Arabidopsis thaliana: one gene and its partner. The protein of the gene in region 2 binds, or shares a complex with, the protein of the main gene of each other region. Each region holds a gene or a part of one and is shown on either strand. Other genes may lie near its edges.

Evidence for each region. Proteins that work in one complex are often made in the same cells at the same time.
Region 1: HA2 (region 2) and PSKR1 share a complex: the UniProt entries of both Arabidopsis thaliana proteins name them as parts of the functional complex.

What each region holds. Positions count from the first base shown.
Region 1 is NC_003071.7:582,175-590,413, forward strand, and holds PSKR1 (phytosulfokin receptor 1), read right to left. Parts: upstream 5,228-8,239; 5' UTR 4,951-5,227; coding exon 1,924-4,950; 3' UTR 1,623-1,923; downstream 1-1,622. Other genes in the region: PP2-B1 (phloem protein 2-B1), read right to left, coding at 8,219-8,239. UniProt on the Arabidopsis thaliana protein: Phytosulfokine receptor with both a serine/threonine-protein kinase activity and a guanylate cyclase activity.
Region 2 is NC_003075.7:14,767,671-14,777,640, reverse strand, and holds HA2 (H[+]-ATPase 2), read left to right. Parts: upstream 1-1,582; 5' UTR 1,583-1,720; coding exon 1,721-1,762; intron 1,763-2,775; coding exon 2,776-2,895; intron 2,896-2,994; coding exon 2,995-3,231; intron 3,232-3,339; coding exon 3,340-4,101; intron 4,102-4,188; coding exon 4,189-4,311; intron 4,312-4,390; coding exon 4,391-4,495; intron 4,496-4,598; coding exon 4,599-4,743; intron 4,744-4,832; coding exon 4,833-5,335; intron 5,336-5,434; coding exon 5,435-5,467; intron 5,468-5,559; coding exon 5,560-5,641; intron 5,642-5,744; coding exon 5,745-5,905; intron 5,906-6,001; coding exon 6,002-6,175; intron 6,176-6,271; coding exon 6,272-6,636; intron 6,637-6,727; coding exon 6,728-6,821; 3' UTR 6,822-7,076; downstream 7,077-9,970. Other genes in the region: AT4G30180 (uncharacterized protein), read right to left, coding at 8,137-8,613. UniProt on the Arabidopsis thaliana protein: The plasma membrane H(+) ATPase of plants and fungi generates a proton gradient that drives the active transport of nutrients by H(+)-symport. The resulting external acidification and/or internal alkinization may mediate growth responses.

The sequences.
Region 1 (8,239 bases), on a different chromosome or scaffold from region 2:
TCTGAATCCTTCAGCGAAGAACAGGTTTATCGGAGAGGAAATTCATCGGCGATTTTGGGGTTTCTCAGAAAGAAAATTCGTCGGCGATTTTGAGTGAAATCGGAGAGGAAATTCGTTGGCGATTTTGAGTGAAATCGGAGAGGGAATTCGTCGGCGATTTTGAGTGAAATCGGAGAGGAAATTCGCCGGCGAGATTGAGTGAAATCGGAGATGAAAATCGGAGAGGAAAACGAAGAAGTTTGTGCCGAAGAAGTTTGTGAAACCAACGTGAAACCTAATCATTCAGAGGGTAAGACAGTCATTTGGCATATTAGAAGGGGTAGTTTTAAAAATGGACTTCAGGAAAGGGCACTTTTACAAAAGGTTATTAGAATAATGGCAGTTTTGCAAATCTCCCTTAAGACAAAGATGCTCATGTACCAATACTCTAAGGGGGAAACGTAAAAAAATGTGTAAACTTTCAAATTTAGAACAAAAAAAAAGTGTAAAATATTATTTAAATCACAAAGTTTAGTTTAATTTTTTGCTAAAATGGTTAAGTTTCTTTGACTTGGCCATTTTTTCTTCTATAATTTAGGAAAGAATAATTTCCAAATATAAAAAAAAACTTTATTTATTAAATTAAATATCTGAAATTTCAAAATCTATATTATGGTAAATATATTTAATAGTATATATTTGTAATTTTATTATTTTTAATTTATTGTATTTTTTATTAGTTGTATATTGTTATTTTTTAGTATATATATATATATATATATTGTTTGTAATATATTAAATTGTTGACATATCTCAGCGATGGGGTATCTCTTATGAGTACAAAAGGCCAACAGTACGATTATCCTAGGAAGCATTTTCCATTTATTTTCTATTAAAACTACGTTGTTTGGTAAACTCCAAAACAAAATCGTTTTAATTTAACGGAGAATTGTAAAGGAAAGTTATCCCCGTTAACGGAAATTTAACGACTTGCCGAAAATGGCAAAGTTGATAAAACTTCACTTTTTTTGCAAAAAGTCAAACTAAACCGTATGATTTAAATGACATTTTGAAAAGTTCATGCTTTTTTGTCTCAAATTTAAAAGTTTATGCATTTTTCGATATTTTTTTTTATATTTATCATCATACATAAGTTTTAAACTTTTAATGCTCTTTTTCTTTTTCCTTGTATTTTATTTGTTATATTTTTGGCTGTTTTCATGTAGTGTGGAAGAAAAGCCAGAAGTGAACATCTTCACTATCGAATCTGTAGTCAATCTTTGAAAATTTTTAAGGAACCATTATAGGAAGCGTACTAATCTATAAATTTGTGGTCTTTGGGGACTGAGAAATCGATATATAGAAAACCTTTCTAATGAAGCAAATATTATATTTTGACCTTACAAAGTCATAATCTTTGAATTCTTTTGGTCAAATGAGTTGAACAATATTTTCACACCCATAAAAAATAAGTTAATGTAATGGATTCTTAACAAAAAATTGACTATAGTTGGCCAAAAGGAATTCTTTTGTTGAAGACCAAAAGGAATTTAGCTACCAAATATATATATTTTTTAATTAAACCAAAAATCTCTAAAAGGTATAACATAATCAACAGAGTATCCACAAAGCAAATCACAGAATAAAGATGTAACACAAATTATTAATCTATGTTGCTCATTTAAATTGCTTGAGACATGTTTTTTCAAGAACTCATTATTTCTGAAACACTACAAAAAGATTTTTCATTTTTCTGAGACAGTATATGTTCTGTCTAGTATCTTTAATGTCTGAATCTGAATCATAAACTGAGATAAAAAAAATGGAAGAAGAAAACGAAGAAACAAATTATTATCTGAAAACTATTTACATTGTATCTCAAAAGTATGAAAATCACTCCCTACAAAATGTATCATAGTGTCTCTGATATTGTTCCTCTTTCTTCTAGACATCATCAAGCCAAGAGACTAACTGTTGAGTCGTTGGCCTCTGTTTCGGGTTTTCGCTTAAACATAAACAAGCAATCTCGAGAACCCGAAACATCTCTTTATCATTCTCTTTACTGTATATTAACGGATCGAAAACCTCGCTTGCTCGACTCTCATGCTTCATCTTGACGACCCACGAGATCAGATCCCTACACCCTTTCGGTTTACACATATCCACCGGTCTTTTATCGGTTAAAAGCTCGAGAAGCACAACTCCGAAACTATACACATCGCCTTTGTAAGTAGCAACCGAAGCTTGCCCGTATTCCGGAGGAATGTAACCTAAAGTTCCAACCAAATCAGTACTTACATGCGTCTCGTAAGGACTCATCAGCCTTGCGAGTCCGAAATCCGCTAAATGAGAGTTGAAATTCTCGTCGAGAAGAATATTACTCGATTTAATATCGCGGTGTAAGATATGAGGATCACACCCTTCATGCAAGTAAAGTAACCCTTTTGCAGCACCTTGAGCGATTCTAAGACGTGTTTTCCACTTCAACAACGCTGGACCGTCGTTACGCTCGTGTAGCCAATAGTCTAAGCTTCCGTTTTCCATATACGAGTAGATTAAAAGCCGGTCGTTTTTGTAGAAACAGAATCCTCGGAGAAGAACAAGATTTGGATGCTGTGCTCTTGAGAGTGTTTCAACTTCTGCTTCGAATTCTCTTTCGATTTGACCGCAATCACCGGATAACTTCTTGATCGCAACTTTCTTACCGTCTGGTAACGTTGCTTTGTAAACCATACCAAACCCGCCACAGCCAATGATGTTAGCTTGATCAAAACTATTTGTTGAGTCCAAAAGGTCATCATAAGAGAGCTCTTTATCATTGCTCTGAAACAAAACCACAAGCTTAGATCCAATCTCTCCGAGTTCTTTACGATTCATGCTCTCGGATTCTTCTATCTCCGGATCAACTTCTCCTGACCGTCTACGAGCACGCAACACAATCAACGAGAGAAGAGTCAAAAGAAAAACCGAACCAAACGCTATCCCAATCGCCATTCCAATGTCACCTCCTCTGCTTCTTCTTGACCGTTTGATCAATGCACTCTCAGTACCTTCAGAACAGGGGAATCTGTGTTCCCCGCAGAGATGGTTACTCTCAAAGCTCGAGTTTGGAAACGTCTGAAACTGACCACCGGAAGGTATTACTCCCGAGAGATTGTTATAAGCAACACTGAACTTCGACAGAAACGAGAGCTGTTGCAGAGAAACCGGGATCGAACCCGAAAGACGGTTATTAGAGAGATCAAGAGCTTCCAAGCTCGTCATACCAGAAAGCGAGCTAGGTATTGATCCAGATAATGCATTCCATTTCAAATCAAACACATGAAGCTTCTTCAGATTACCAAACTCCTCCCAAATAGGTCCAGAGAGATTGTTATGACCAAGCTCAATCGTTGGCGGGAACCCGAAAATCTGATTGTATTGCAACGCTCTCGCGCTCTCGTTTCTTTTCATAAAGAACGGGAAATCAGGAGATGGCTCATTGACTGAGATATTACGGCTAGTGAGACTCTCTAACTTAGTTAAGCTCTTAGGGATCTCTCCTGTAAACGAGTTGTTAGATAAATCCAAGTAGAACAGAGCCTTGAAGTCACCAATCCAGCTCGGGATAGCGCCGGTTAAACGGTTCCAAGAAAGATCCAACAACTGAAGTTCATTACTCGAGCTTAACCACCTCGGCATCGAACCAGTAAGCCTACAATTCGCCACTACAAGCACCTTAAGCTTCTCGAAATGAAGACTTGAATCATCGGGTAAAGCCTCTCCATGGAAATTCAATGTAAGAACCAAAGTCGTCAAGTTCTTGCAATGCTGAAGTATCCCAAGCGCTGAAGAGATATTAGCCAAACTCGAATTCGATAACGAGAAGTAAGATAAGCTCTCGAAGTTCTTGAAACTCTCTGGTACTTGTCCATGGAAGGTGTTCCTCGCGAGGTTAACGTTCTTTAACCGCTTGCAATCCGGTAGATTCTCAGGTAACCTCCCATTGAATCTATTGGTACCTAAATCAAGAGAGTTCAAAGCAATCATCGCCGTACAATTCAACATCAAACGACCCGATAAAGAATTGTTCCTCAAGTTAAGCAGATTCAAACTCGGTGAATTCGCCAACGATTTAGGTATTCCTCCAATGAATCCATTGGTCTGACCTAAGAAAAACTTTAACTGAGGCAATTCGTCGAACACATCAGGGATTTCACCGGAAAACAAATTCCAAGAAACATCAAGACGAACAAGACTTGAGAGATTCCTAATCTCACGACTCAACGAACCAGAGAGACGATTCTCTTGAATCCCTAAAAGATTCAATCTTTTGAGATGAAACAAATCCTCAGGGATGTTACCAGTAAGATCGTTCATACCAAGACAGAGATGCTCAAGCAAGACACATTTCCCAAACCCGGAAGTGAAGTTTCCGGCGAAGTAGTTCACCGCAAGTTTCACAACCCTAATTTGAGTAGAGTTATGGCAGATATGAGACGGAAGCGACCCATTGAATTTATTTGAAGAAAGATCAAAACTTTGCAGAGCTGGGAGATTTATACTTGTTGGGATTCCGCCGGAGAGATCATTAGAGCTCAAATCAAGAGTTTGTAGATTCTTCAAGTTGAAAATCGAAAGAGGGATCGAATCTTTGATGAAGTTTCGAGAGAGATTAAGAACCCTAATCTCATCTAGCTTCCCGAGAGATTCAGACAACTTCCCCGACAGCTTTTTGTTCCCAAGCTCCAATCTAATAACTCTTCCGGTGTTGTTTGAATTGCAGGTGATTCCGGTCCAGTTGCAGCAGTCTGTAGAAGAAGAAGAATTGATCCAACCATCTGGTTTTGGTTCGAGATGTGCTATGAAGTCACGTAAGGCTTCGAGGTCATGTGGATGGCACCTGGAGGTGGTCTGAGATTCCGAGGAATAGAAGAAACATAGTAACTCTGTGAGGAAGATGACGATCACACAAAAACGATGAACACGCATTTCAAGAACAGAGGAAGAAGAAGAAGAATATAAAGGAAGAAACTTTGAGAGAAGAATTAAGATTCAACAAAAACCCTTGAGAAATCTGAGAGTATACGAAACGGGTTTTCTGATTATTGCCATTTTAGATGATGATCAATGAAGATGAAGAAGCAAGAGAGAGAAAAATGGCGACTTTTGACTTCAACACGCAACAGCAAGTAGTGGGTGTTGTTTTAATGCAAGCAAAATTCTAGAGAGAGATAGAAAGTGGAAGAGTTGTGTTTGGTCTTTTTTCTGATACAGAGCAAACAGTAAAAATCTTTAAATAAAGAAGAAGAAGAAATAAGAAGCTTTGAATAAATATTATTTTTCCAAATATTTTGTGAATTAATTTGTGTTTTTGGAAAATTTGTTATAGACAAATCTTTTCCGTGTTTTGTCAATTATAATTGAGTGTGTTTAGTCATATATGAAGTCTTAATCAATAACATTGACTTAGGAAAGTCTTTCTCTAAATATTTTTTTTATTTTTTTGTCTAAATCTTTTACTTTGAATAGTTTGTCGTTCAACGGATAGGCAGAAGAAAATTTGGAACGATTAATGAATAATGAATGATGAAAGTGATCGAATTTAGAAAAATATATGCAAAATTATGTGACTATAAATGTTTCTTTATGGTTTTTTGCCGATTATTCTGCAAATGGTAGATTTATATTTTAGTAGTTTCTATGCAATAAAAAGGTAAAGGAGTAGCTTTTATTAATTATATTGATTTTATTTTGCAAATGGTTAATTTTTATATTAAAATTTGATTATGGGTTAATTGAATAATAATTAAAGATGACCGGAGAAGAAGGGAGTGACCGGTTAGGTCAGCTTTGAGGATTTAAGATGAGGACAAGAGAAAAGATAGAAGTCAAAGCACGGACGTTGACACCTTTGCATCTCTCTCTCTTCTCAACTACAATTTTTTTTTTTTTCTATTTACATTAATTATTGACATTGTTTCTCTTTTTTCGCAAGTTGATAATGAATGAAAATAGACCTACTAGATATTCTTTAGTTTCCGATAAAAGCTTCGGAAAAAAATCTTGAGTTTTTTCCATAAAATCTTGAAATACTTCAAAGAGGAAGGTTATCAACTTAATTGTTGTATTTGTTGGTTAAAAGAATCTAATATAGGAGCTATTTTTTTTTAGCTATTTACATGTCCAAATCAATACGTTATAATTCCAATCAAATTACTAATATTAATTTCATATGACCGGACTTGTATAACTTGAAGTTTATAATATCACTATACAATAACTTGACTTCTAATTTAGAAGTATAACTATAAAAGTGTAACGTATGTGAGTTGTAGACGATAAAAAAATAAAAGAACGGTTATATATAAACTATTTTATATTTTATATAAAAGAAACTAAAAAATAGTCGGTATAGGAACATAAATTTCATTGCTTTTTTCTTCAGTTTTTTTATCACCAATTTTCATTGCTAAAGGATTATTTTTTGTCGTTAATACTTTTTTCTTTTAAAAACGACAAATTTAGGATGCGTTAATATTACTTTTATATGTAACGCTATCCTAAATTTTGTCGATAGAATCCGTTATTAATTAATTGGAAAGAATCGAAAAAAAAAAATTAATCTTGGCAGTTAAAAAATGGATTCTCTTATACCTTTGTAGTAATATACACGTTATAGATTGTTCGAAAAAAAGAAAAGGATAATAGATTGTCATTTTAACAAAATAAAACCAAAAAGTCTCACATTTTCTTGCCATGATTTATTTCTTAAAGAAAAATAGGCTGTTTACACAACTTTCTTTGATGGTTTACTTGATTTATAAGTAAATGAGGACAATATGGGTGAATGGTGAATTGAACATAGACATAAAAGACTATATTGCTTAATAAACTAATTAGCCTACATTCAAAGTTGGTTTACCATATAAGAAATCACTTATATAGTTTTCCTAGTGTGTGCATGATCTTTCATAAAGAGATTAAATATTGTTTTACGTGGAAAAGTTAAGATACGATTCCATGTTAATAATAAAATATTAATGTCGATATCTATAATGAAGGAGACAGTCAAAGCATGTGACATCGACTATTCAACTCTATAATTAATCTTCAATACCATGTGGCTCGTAATGGCTTCGATATAATCGGCTTTCGTTAGTCTTTTATAGGTTCTTTTTTTCTTCTGAAAATTGACTTACTAAGTTTTATAGTTTATTATAGCTAATTTTGATATATATGATATTACAAATAGTGTGACTTTGATTGGTAATAAACTAATAATACTCTTGCTGGTTGTTGCTAACATACAACGATTTTTTTTGGTAAAAAAGTATAAATTAGAATGTAAATAAAGATGACTGATATTTACCCTTTCTAATATTTTCCTACCTTTCCCGTATGTCTCTAAAACTCCTAAAATATACTACGATCCTAACTACTAAATTTATAGGAAAAATACCCAAAATAGAAAAAAACTTTGTAGTTTGACCCAAAAAAACATTGCAGTTTAAATAGAAAAACGAAACAAATGTGAAAGATAATATTTGAAAATGAAATAAAAAAATGCTCTTGCTTTGTTACACAACACAATTCACAATCTTTCAGAGTTTAAAAGCTCAACTATTTCTATTCACTAAAAACCCAAGGTTGTTGTTTTCGTAATGTGTGCAACAAAGCCCATAGTATAGTTTTTCTTAAAAGCCTTCGAAGTTAGATTAGAACTGACCCAGTTTTACTTGCTTGGGTTTGTTGTATTCACATCACAAAAAGCCTTGATCTTTTCTGTTTTCTCAACAAATCAAAATAACCATATACACTTTGTTCACAAATCACAAGAGATCATTCAGCTACACGATGTCTTCTTTTTCCAGGCGTGATCTAGAAGATGGTAGTTACTAGGTAGGAATATAAACGTTTTAGACATTTAACTGAGCGAATGTGTGAATCATGGACAAATGGTTTCAGCTACAGGGCATGACTAAGCAAAAGAGTGTTGAACCAAGACTCAAGATGACATGTATGGATGTGGAAACAGGAAACAGAAGAAAGATAGTCACAATGGTGAAATGAATGGGAAACATAAGAATCATGAACCATCTTTCTTCTTGCTATTCAGACATTAGTACACAAGATAGAGAATTATCAACTTCTCTGCTATTTCATATCAAGAACTCCAAACTGTAAGTAAACTCGAGACATTAGAAGACATGTTTTTAAAACTGTGTTTCATACTTCAAAATACACAATTTGATCAAAATCAGTTGCTTCTTTCAGGCCT
Region 2 (9,970 bases):
CTTATATTTTAAATAATTTAGTTAAGGTTCATTTGAGCTGCAAAATTAAATACATAGTGAACTTATTTTACTAGATTACCAAAATTATATTGGTAAAGAAATATTGTGGCAAACTGTAAATAAGTGATGTCTTTTTGTATTTTATTCAAATAAATAGTATGATATATATGTAAAGTATGTTACTGTATACAATAATCTAAAACTTGTTACCCCATGATAAAAAAATGTGATAAATAAAATCATTTTGTTTACAATTTTTCTATCCATCATTTGTGAAAAGAAAAGAAAAGACAAGAAATGATTTTCGTATCTTGTACATATTCTCTTTACCTAATTTACGAGACGTTTGTTTAGACTTGAACACTTATTAATTAGGACATGAATCCTAAGAAGTTAAAACGTAGAGGAGTTGGAAATGACGAACTTTGTATTATTGGGGGACCCATCACAATCAAAAGTCAATTTCTCAGTATATCTTCAGAGGGAACAAATTTAATTAACACTATGGTTTTTATTCAATTATTAACATGTGACATCGTTCCCATTGCTGACCTTGCCATGAGGCACACCTTGGAAGGGCCAATATTTTCATTATCAACGTTAGGGCCACAAATAACTATATATATTAAAATTACTATTCTACAAATTACTACTATATAAATTAGTCCGTCGTAACTAATTACGATCCACACCAACTGATATAATGTAAAAATAGTAAGAAAAAGTAGTTTTCTTACCTGCTTAATCAAGGTATGTAGTTTTTGTTATAAGCATCTCTGTCAAAATTTCAGAGATTTAAAGTGTTTTGGCTTGGAGAAGTATTTGTATGGTTGAGAAAGAAAAAATGGAAACAAAACCGAAGTAACCCATTATTGCTTATCGAAAAAACAAATTTAGAAAAAACGAACCTAAACCAGTTGGAAAACGATTTTGTTAAGAAAATATAGTATTAGTTGAAATTTTCAGAAAGAAATATCTTTCTTTAAACAAAACCTAATAGGTGTCCAAAAAAAAAAAAAGAAAAATGAAGAAGAGGACAGGCTAAGCAGCAAGTAGTATGTTGCTTAGTCAAATATAAATTAAAAAATCCAAGCAATGTATACCTCCACCAAATATTTCTTTCTTGATATAATGATTCATGACAAAAGAAAGAAAAAAAACACCAAAGTCTATGATCTAGTAATTAAAAAAAGAGATATTACAAATTAGTTTCTCTTATAAGCTACTTCCTCCTTAGAGTCCCTTTTCAAACTACTATAAAACATCAAAATATCTCAAAATAAAAAGAAAATAAGAATTATTAACGGTAGAAAATTTTGTTGTTTAAAATGAACAATTATTCCATAATTAAAGTGTAATTAGGACCCACAAAATATATACAAATTTGATTCGGGTTCATAAGCCAAAAATATTACATTAATCAACGGTCAAAGGGTGATTAAGAACTTAAAGAGGCAGCAAAATAAATAAAAAGGGTAATAAATATAGAGAGACTACTTGGTAATGGGACCCACATAGCCAAAACGGCGGAGAAAATCGTCGTTTTTAGTGGCTTATAAAAAGAGGACTCGTATCGACTCTGCAACAGAACCACCTAATCTCTCCTCCTCTCCTTCTCTCTATTTTGCCGGAATACATATGATCGAGTGAAACGGCGGACAAAGCTGTCGTGTTGAGTACTAATTCGCCGTCGTTTTTCTCAGTGAAGGAGTGGTGAGAGATGTCGAGTCTCGAAGATATCAAGAACGAGACTGTTGATCTGGTATACCATTTTTTATCCTCTGTTTTTATTTTATGCTCACAAACTGTTCGATGATCTGCCTGAATGAGAGTAGATCTGTATCCACTTGGTGGCTTTAAAGTCTTTCCTTGGTTATTACTTACTCTCATTATGGTTTCGTTTTTTATATATACATTTTCATCGATTTAGTTTTGAATATGTGAAATTTGTTTAGAAAGACTATATTTTTGTTTCTGGGTAGTAATTAAGTCTAAGAAACGTTTGGAGGACATGAAGAGTTTGTTCATGAGAAAAAAGTAGATCTAAGCATGTGATATACTAGTAAACAAACAAGATAAAGAAAACAGAGTCTCTTTTTTCAGTGGTGGAGCTAGCTACGTCTCAATAAAGTCCAAACCTACTTGTACAATGTTTTGTCTTCTCTTTTTTTGGTTACTAGTAAGAATTTATTTGGTGGTATTTAGAAAAAATAAATATGACTTTAATCAAATCTGTTACTTAACACGAAGTTCGGATTTTTTTTTTGGTTGTACCTTTCCGTGGTACGTTTAACTTCTCTGTCTTTAGCAACCAACAAAAAAGAACACATCTTTTGTGCAGACGTAACTTCTTTTCTGTGTTTCTTGGGACAATAATTTGAATCTTTTTTATTAAAATGCTACTTTTACATAACTTTGGACTGTATTTACGCGACCAAGCCTCGATTTTTACGCCGGGAAGTGAGGGGAATCTTTCGGCGCGTGTGTTTCACGTCGCCATCACGTTGGTCGGTGGTGGCGGTCCCCACTTCACCACCGCTATTTCCCCCCCGCCAAAAATATTTCATTGTCACCGAACTAGTCAACGACTTTTTTCCAACTATTGTACTTATGAAACAGAGTAGATTTATCTACGGTTACAAAATCATCAAAGTTTTCTGTTTTACTTAAGAAAAGGTTTCTCCTTTTTAAGGTTTAGAAACTTGTTTTGTGTATGTGAAAGTTTGAGTTGTTTGGATTTGGTCATCTGATCGAATTTGCTTTTGATTTTTTCAGGAAAAAATTCCGATTGAGGAAGTTTTCCAGCAGCTAAAATGTTCAAGGGAAGGATTGACAACGCAGGAAGGGGAGGACAGGATTCAGATCTTTGGCCCCAACAAGCTCGAAGAGAAAAAGGTCTGATTTTGCATTTGTAGCTCTCAGATAAAATACATAGTTGGTCTCCTTTTTTTTTGTTACTGAGTGTTTGGTGATTTGTGCAATGAAAATTGACAGGAAAGCAAACTTCTGAAGTTTTTGGGGTTTATGTGGAATCCACTTTCATGGGTCATGGAAATGGCTGCAATCATGGCCATTGCTTTGGCCAACGGTGATGGTAGGCCTCCGGATTGGCAGGATTTTGTTGGTATTATCTGTCTGTTGGTTATCAACTCTACCATCAGTTTTATCGAAGAAAACAATGCTGGTAATGCTGCTGCTGCTCTTATGGCTGGTCTTGCTCCTAAAACCAAGGTATATATATGATAAGAGAATGAATGGTGTGAATTTGTTATACAGAACTTTCTGAATTTTCCCTAGAGCTAATGTTTTGGTTCTTGTTGTGATGTTTCTCTGTTTCAGGTTCTTAGGGATGGAAAGTGGAGTGAACAAGAAGCTGCTATTCTTGTCCCAGGAGATATTGTTAGCATTAAATTAGGAGACATTATCCCAGCTGATGCCCGTCTACTTGAAGGTGATCCTTTAAAGGTTGACCAATCTGCTCTAACTGGAGAGTCCCTTCCTGTAACCAAGCACCCGGGTCAAGAAGTTTTCTCTGGTTCAACCTGCAAACAAGGAGAAATCGAGGCGGTTGTTATTGCCACTGGGGTTCATACCTTCTTCGGTAAAGCTGCTCACCTTGTGGACAGCACTAACCAAGTTGGACATTTCCAGAAGGTTCTTACAGCCATTGGGAACTTCTGTATCTGTTCCATTGCTATCGGTATGGTGATTGAGATCATCGTCATGTATCCGATCCAACGCCGAAAGTACAGAGATGGAATTGACAACCTTTTGGTCCTCTTGATCGGTGGTATCCCCATTGCTATGCCTACAGTCTTGTCCGTGACCATGGCTATTGGGTCTCACAGGTTGTCTCAGCAAGGTGCCATCACCAAGCGTATGACTGCCATTGAAGAGATGGCAGGAATGGATGTCCTGTGCAGTGACAAAACCGGGACACTAACCCTCAACAAATTGAGTGTGGACAAAAACTTGGTCGAGGTTTTCTGCAAGGGTGTGGAGAAAGATCAAGTCCTATTATTTGCAGCTATGGCTTCCAGGGTTGAGAACCAGGATGCCATTGATGCAGCCATGGTTGGGATGCTTGCTGATCCAAAGGAGGTATAACCCTTTTTGGTTCACATGTTATTTGTAGTTTTACTGAGCGTCCAAGAAACATGTTCTGATGTTTGATTGGGATTTTCACAGGCTAGAGCTGGAATCAGGGAAGTTCACTTCCTTCCATTCAACCCTGTGGATAAGAGAACTGCTTTGACTTACATTGACGGCAGTGGTAACTGGCACAGAGTCAGTAAAGGTGCTCCTGAGCAGGTGATGGATCTTAATTTTACAAGCTAATCCTTTTTTTTTCTTACCTTTCTTTTTTATACTGATTTGATTCTCCCAACAGATCCTCGAACTTGCCAAAGCCAGCAATGATCTTAGCAAGAAGGTGCTCTCCATTATTGACAAGTATGCTGAGCGTGGTCTTAGGTCGTTGGCTGTTGCTCGCCAGGTACTTATTCGCCATTAATACTGATAGTTCCAGTCCCTTTTTGCTTTTCTTTTCTCAGTGGTAACAAATGTTCAACTGTTTGTCTTCTTATTCCCTTTTGTAGGTGGTGCCAGAGAAAACAAAGGAAAGCCCAGGTGCGCCATGGGAATTTGTTGGCTTGTTGCCACTTTTTGATCCCCCAAGACATGACAGTGCTGAAACAATTCGACGGGCTTTGAATCTTGGTGTTAACGTCAAGATGATCACTGGTAAATTTGTCTACCCATCTATCTTGTTGTGCTAGCTATACACCTTCACAAGTTCCCCCTAACATTCTCTTGAACACATATGTGGCCAGGTGACCAACTTGCTATTGGTAAGGAAACTGGTCGCAGACTTGGAATGGGAACAAACATGTATCCATCTTCGGCTCTTCTTGGTACACACAAAGACGCAAACCTCGCATCCATTCCTGTTGAGGAGTTGATTGAAAAGGCTGATGGATTTGCCGGAGTCTTCCCAGGTTATAATCTGCTTATTTATTGTTTGGATTATAAACCTCACTATATGTTCATTGCAAAGGTGGTGATGTTAGTTCTAAGCTTTGTTTTTTTTATTGCAGAGCACAAATACGAAATTGTGAAAAAGTTGCAGGAGAGGAAGCATATTGTTGGAATGACTGGTGATGGTGTCAATGATGCCCCTGCTCTAAAGAAAGCTGATATCGGTATTGCTGTTGCTGATGCTACAGATGCTGCTCGTGGTGCTTCAGATATCGTGCTCACTGAGCCTGGACTCAGCGTTATTATCAGTGCTGTTCTCACCAGCAGAGCTATTTTCCAGAGAATGAAGAACTATACTGTGCGTCTTCTCCTATTTTTCATCCTTAATTTATTCCAACCACTTGCTTGCTTGCAATTGAAACTAATTACTCTGTTCTATTTTTCTCTCTTGTTACAGATCTATGCAGTCTCAATCACCATCCGTATTGTGGTATGCAAATAAATCCGTTTGAGTTCTGGCCCTTGTTGGTTTTATCTTGGATTAATAGTATGCTGATCATATTGCGTTGAAACTTTTTGCAGTTTGGTTTCATGCTTATTGCTTTGATATGGGAATTTGACTTCTCAGCCTTCATGGTTCTGATCATTGCCATTCTTAACGACGGTGAGCAATGGCTGTCCTTTTGTATAAACCTCAAAATTTGTTTACTTTTTCTACAATGTTTACTTATATCTTTTGGTATTGTGTTGCTATCTTGATCTTATAGGTACCATCATGACAATCTCAAAGGACAGAGTTAAGCCATCTCCCACACCTGATAGCTGGAAACTTAAAGAAATTTTTGCTACTGGAGTCGTTCTAGGAGGCTACCAGGCCATCATGACTGTTATTTTCTTCTGGGCGGCGCACAAGACTGACTTTTTCTCGGTACATACAATTGAGCTAATTAATTTCTCTTTTACAGAAGTTTTTTCTTAGGTTCTTGTTCAGAGTTGTAAAGTAAATTTCACATTGGATTCACAGGACACATTCGGTGTGAGGTCCATTAGGGACAATAACCACGAGCTAATGGGTGCGGTGTACTTACAAGTTAGTATCATTAGTCAAGCTCTGATCTTCGTCACAAGATCAAGGAGTTGGTCTTTTGTTGAACGTCCTGGAGCATTGCTGATGATTGCTTTCCTCATTGCACAACTGGTAAGTTCATCAAATCAACATTTTAAGGGAATTCTTGTTTGGTAAAAAGGTTCTCAAAGAAGCACCCGTTAAATCCATTCATTCTTCCAAATGCAGATTGCTACTTTGATTGCGGTTTACGCCAACTGGGAATTTGCAAAGATTAGGGGTATTGGATGGGGATGGGCTGGTGTGATCTGGCTATACAGTATTGTCACATACTTCCCATTGGACGTTTTCAAGTTTGCCATTCGATACATCTTGAGCGGAAAGGCGTGGCTCAACTTGTTTGAGAACAAGACGGCTTTCACGATGAAGAAAGATTACGGAAAAGAAGAGAGAGAGGCTCAATGGGCACTTGCTCAAAGGACACTTCACGGTTTACAGCCAAAAGAAGCTGTTAACATCTTCCCTGAGAAAGGAAGTTACAGAGAATTGTCTGAGATCGCTGAGCAAGCTAAGAGAAGAGCTGAGATCGCTAGGTAATAAATCCGATCACACACGATTCTTTTTAATCTAAGTGTATTTTTTTGTTGGAATTAAACACTAATTGAATTGTTATATGTTAAACAGGCTTAGGGAGCTGCACACACTCAAGGGACATGTGGAATCAGTCGTGAAGCTAAAGGGCTTGGACATTGAAACTCCCAGTCACTACACTGTGTAGTAAAACCAAACATATGACTGATCTTCGATCCTCTCATGTTTTGTCTTCTTCTTCTTCTTTTTTTCTTCACCACCTCTTATGATTATTATTCACATAGGGAGAGATCTTTGTTTATTGCCATAACTCTTCCCAAACCTTATTGTTAGTGTTCTTGTTTCTCAAATATGTACTTTTGCATAATTTGCTCTTTTGAAGAAACAAGGCATGCCTTTGTGTTTGGCATTTGGCACATGCACATTCTCTTCTTTGCTCTTATTCCATGAGCCTATGTAATCTTAATCTTCTTCTTTTTCGTAATCCAACTTTTCTTCCGGCTTCTTTACTTTTATATATAGTACCTAAATGTTATTTATACCTAGGGACAACAAACAATTTGCTTATTTAAATCAAATTTTGTTTGTTGTAAAGAAGGGAAATAACCATAATTTTTTCTTTTTTTTTTTCACTGAAACCAAATCAATTAAATAACACTATCCTTTAAAAATGCCATTAAAAACATGACATGAGACAAGTTGTGTGGAAGTAGTACGGCTAGAATCTTAAGAGAAATAGAGAGATTTGGATGCGTGCGAGTGACTGTGAGACACGTGCAAAGATATGGATGATGACTTCAAATCAATGTTATGACTTTCATAGTTTACACATATGTCATCCAACTTTCCTCCTTTTTAGATATTTACAATTTCGGCGTTTTGTTTTTCATATTCATCGAATTTTTTGGAAAGTAATTCTAGTCCAGTAGTCCTAATTTTTGTTTACATTTTAATGGTGCACCTGTAGTTACTGCAGCTGGAACATATTGGTGATCTCTACTAATGTGTAGCTTTTATTTAATTGAAGATTTGTTACATCTGATTTTTTGTAGTCGAAAGTTCATATGTTTTCGCTAAAGGAGAAAAAAAACTTGCAGGAATATAAATATATACACAAACACAAAGTTTGTCAGGTTAAAATGATTAGAATATTAAAGTTTGGAGATTTGCTCATAACATTAAAATAATAAATTCAGGAAAAAAAGACAACATAAGAGTTTTATTTTAGGCAGCACATCGTCTATTTGGCATTACAACCAATAATTTAAATTTCAATCAGATTTTGATCGAATTTTATAAGATGTACGTATAAACGGCCATGTGTGGTACTTTAGGTATTTCGGTAACCATGATTAATTAAGAAAAGGAAAAAAGAAAAACACTATAATACATGCTCTTGTTCTTAAAGAAATCAAGAGAAAAAAAAAAACACAGATGATTTTCGTTTAAAGACAACAAAAAAAACATGAAACAAACTATAAATTATACACTTAAACTAAAAGTCAAGTACTATCTTGAACAATGGACTTGAGAGCAATCGTCTGCAACTCAAGACATTTAATGTAGTTACCAATCTCACTCAACATTTCTTCCACATTCATCTCTTCCCCACCTGGCAAAAGCTTCTTCAATTCCCTCAGTCTCTCCTCTATCCCTCCTTCTTCGTTTCCGCCTTCTTTATCGGGTCTTTCAAGAATCCGAATTCCATCGGAAGAAGAACTAGTGGTAGTGGTTGGATTCGATGAGGACGATAGCTTCTGCAGCAAGAAACGGCTCCATGCAAATTCTTGAGCAGACAAAGCCAAAGCCATATCTACTTCATGCTTCACGGTTTGTTTTGAAGAGTTCTTGTTCATGTTGAGCTTCTTGAGTGCAGGAACCAAGTGGCTTGTGTATTTTCTCGTGAAAACTGCACTAGGGTTCTTGTTTGGTTCAAGAGAAAACACTCGTTTCTTCCTGTTTATGATTTGCCTCTCCATATGAGAAACTATTTTTGCTGCAAATGAAAGTCTACAAGGGAGAAAGTTACATATATAGCAAACTTAGAATATGAGAGAGACAAAGAAAGAGAAGAGCGGTGTCCTACGTTTGTTTGTATATAACAAGCGTTGATGATGTATAAAGTAAAGTTGTAGAACTTAATTTTCTTTGTATACATATATGAGGTAATATGTTTGGGAGTGTTATTATTTTTCGTTCACGTACAAAACACAAGACTATTTGAAAGTCGTAGTTAGTAGTTTTCTTTTTTAGACAAATATTTTAAAAACAACGGAATTTGAATATCATCAACTAATATATGTTTTTTTGTATAATACATTTATTTTTAGAAAATACACGAAAACAAAAAGAGAGTGTGTATATATATATATATATATATATATATACATAAATAAAGAGAGAAAAATAAGAAAAGAAGAATTTGGGAATAATAATGGGTGAGGGAAGAAAAAACACATGGAGTCACATGCAAGAGCTCTAATTTGGCTGCATCACAACTACCCCTAAAGAGGTGCTTTGAGAGACCCTTTTACCATGTGGCTCCATTCCAAGAACAAGACATCAATACAAAACCCCACCTTCTCTTAATGCTTTCACATGTTCCTTCCTCTTAACCTCTCTCTCTCTCACTCACTCACTCACACACTTTGTATATACATAATACATGTATGCATGTGTATGTGTCCTTGGACCAATCTCCTAATTAGTTTGATCAATCTATGTCATTTCTACCCATATTATCTTAATATAGATCTCCCTCATATTATATATACCATTTGACCTTCTTTTTTTTTATGCTGCATGTGTGATGAATTTGGGTTTCACTACCCACTACTTTTGCGATATTTGGATACAGATGGTAACTTGCTAAACAGAAATTTAGTTATTATTAGTGGTAGTTCAATTGGTGATCTGTACAACATATCAAGACAAACATCTTTGAAACTGAATTTTACTGCCACTGTAACTAATATGACGTAGATACAAGTTTCTTTACTACGCATATTAACATAAAGTTAAGATGCATGTGGTCAGTAATTGGGTTATTAATACGTTTTATTTGTCAAGGACTTTTAGTCGTGATTTTTTGATTCTAAGCATCATTGCATTCCAGGTTTAAAGATGACTTTAATTTTTCCTATAGGATTTGTAAATAGATAAATATAGTTTATGTTGACACAAAAGGTCACCTTTGATATGATATGAAAGTCTGGGTGTTACTCATTTGTTATTTTATTTTTATTTTTTAAAATATATACCGAATCATTTAGATATATATATATATATATATATATAATAATAATAATAATAATAATAACAATAAAATGTCCAAAC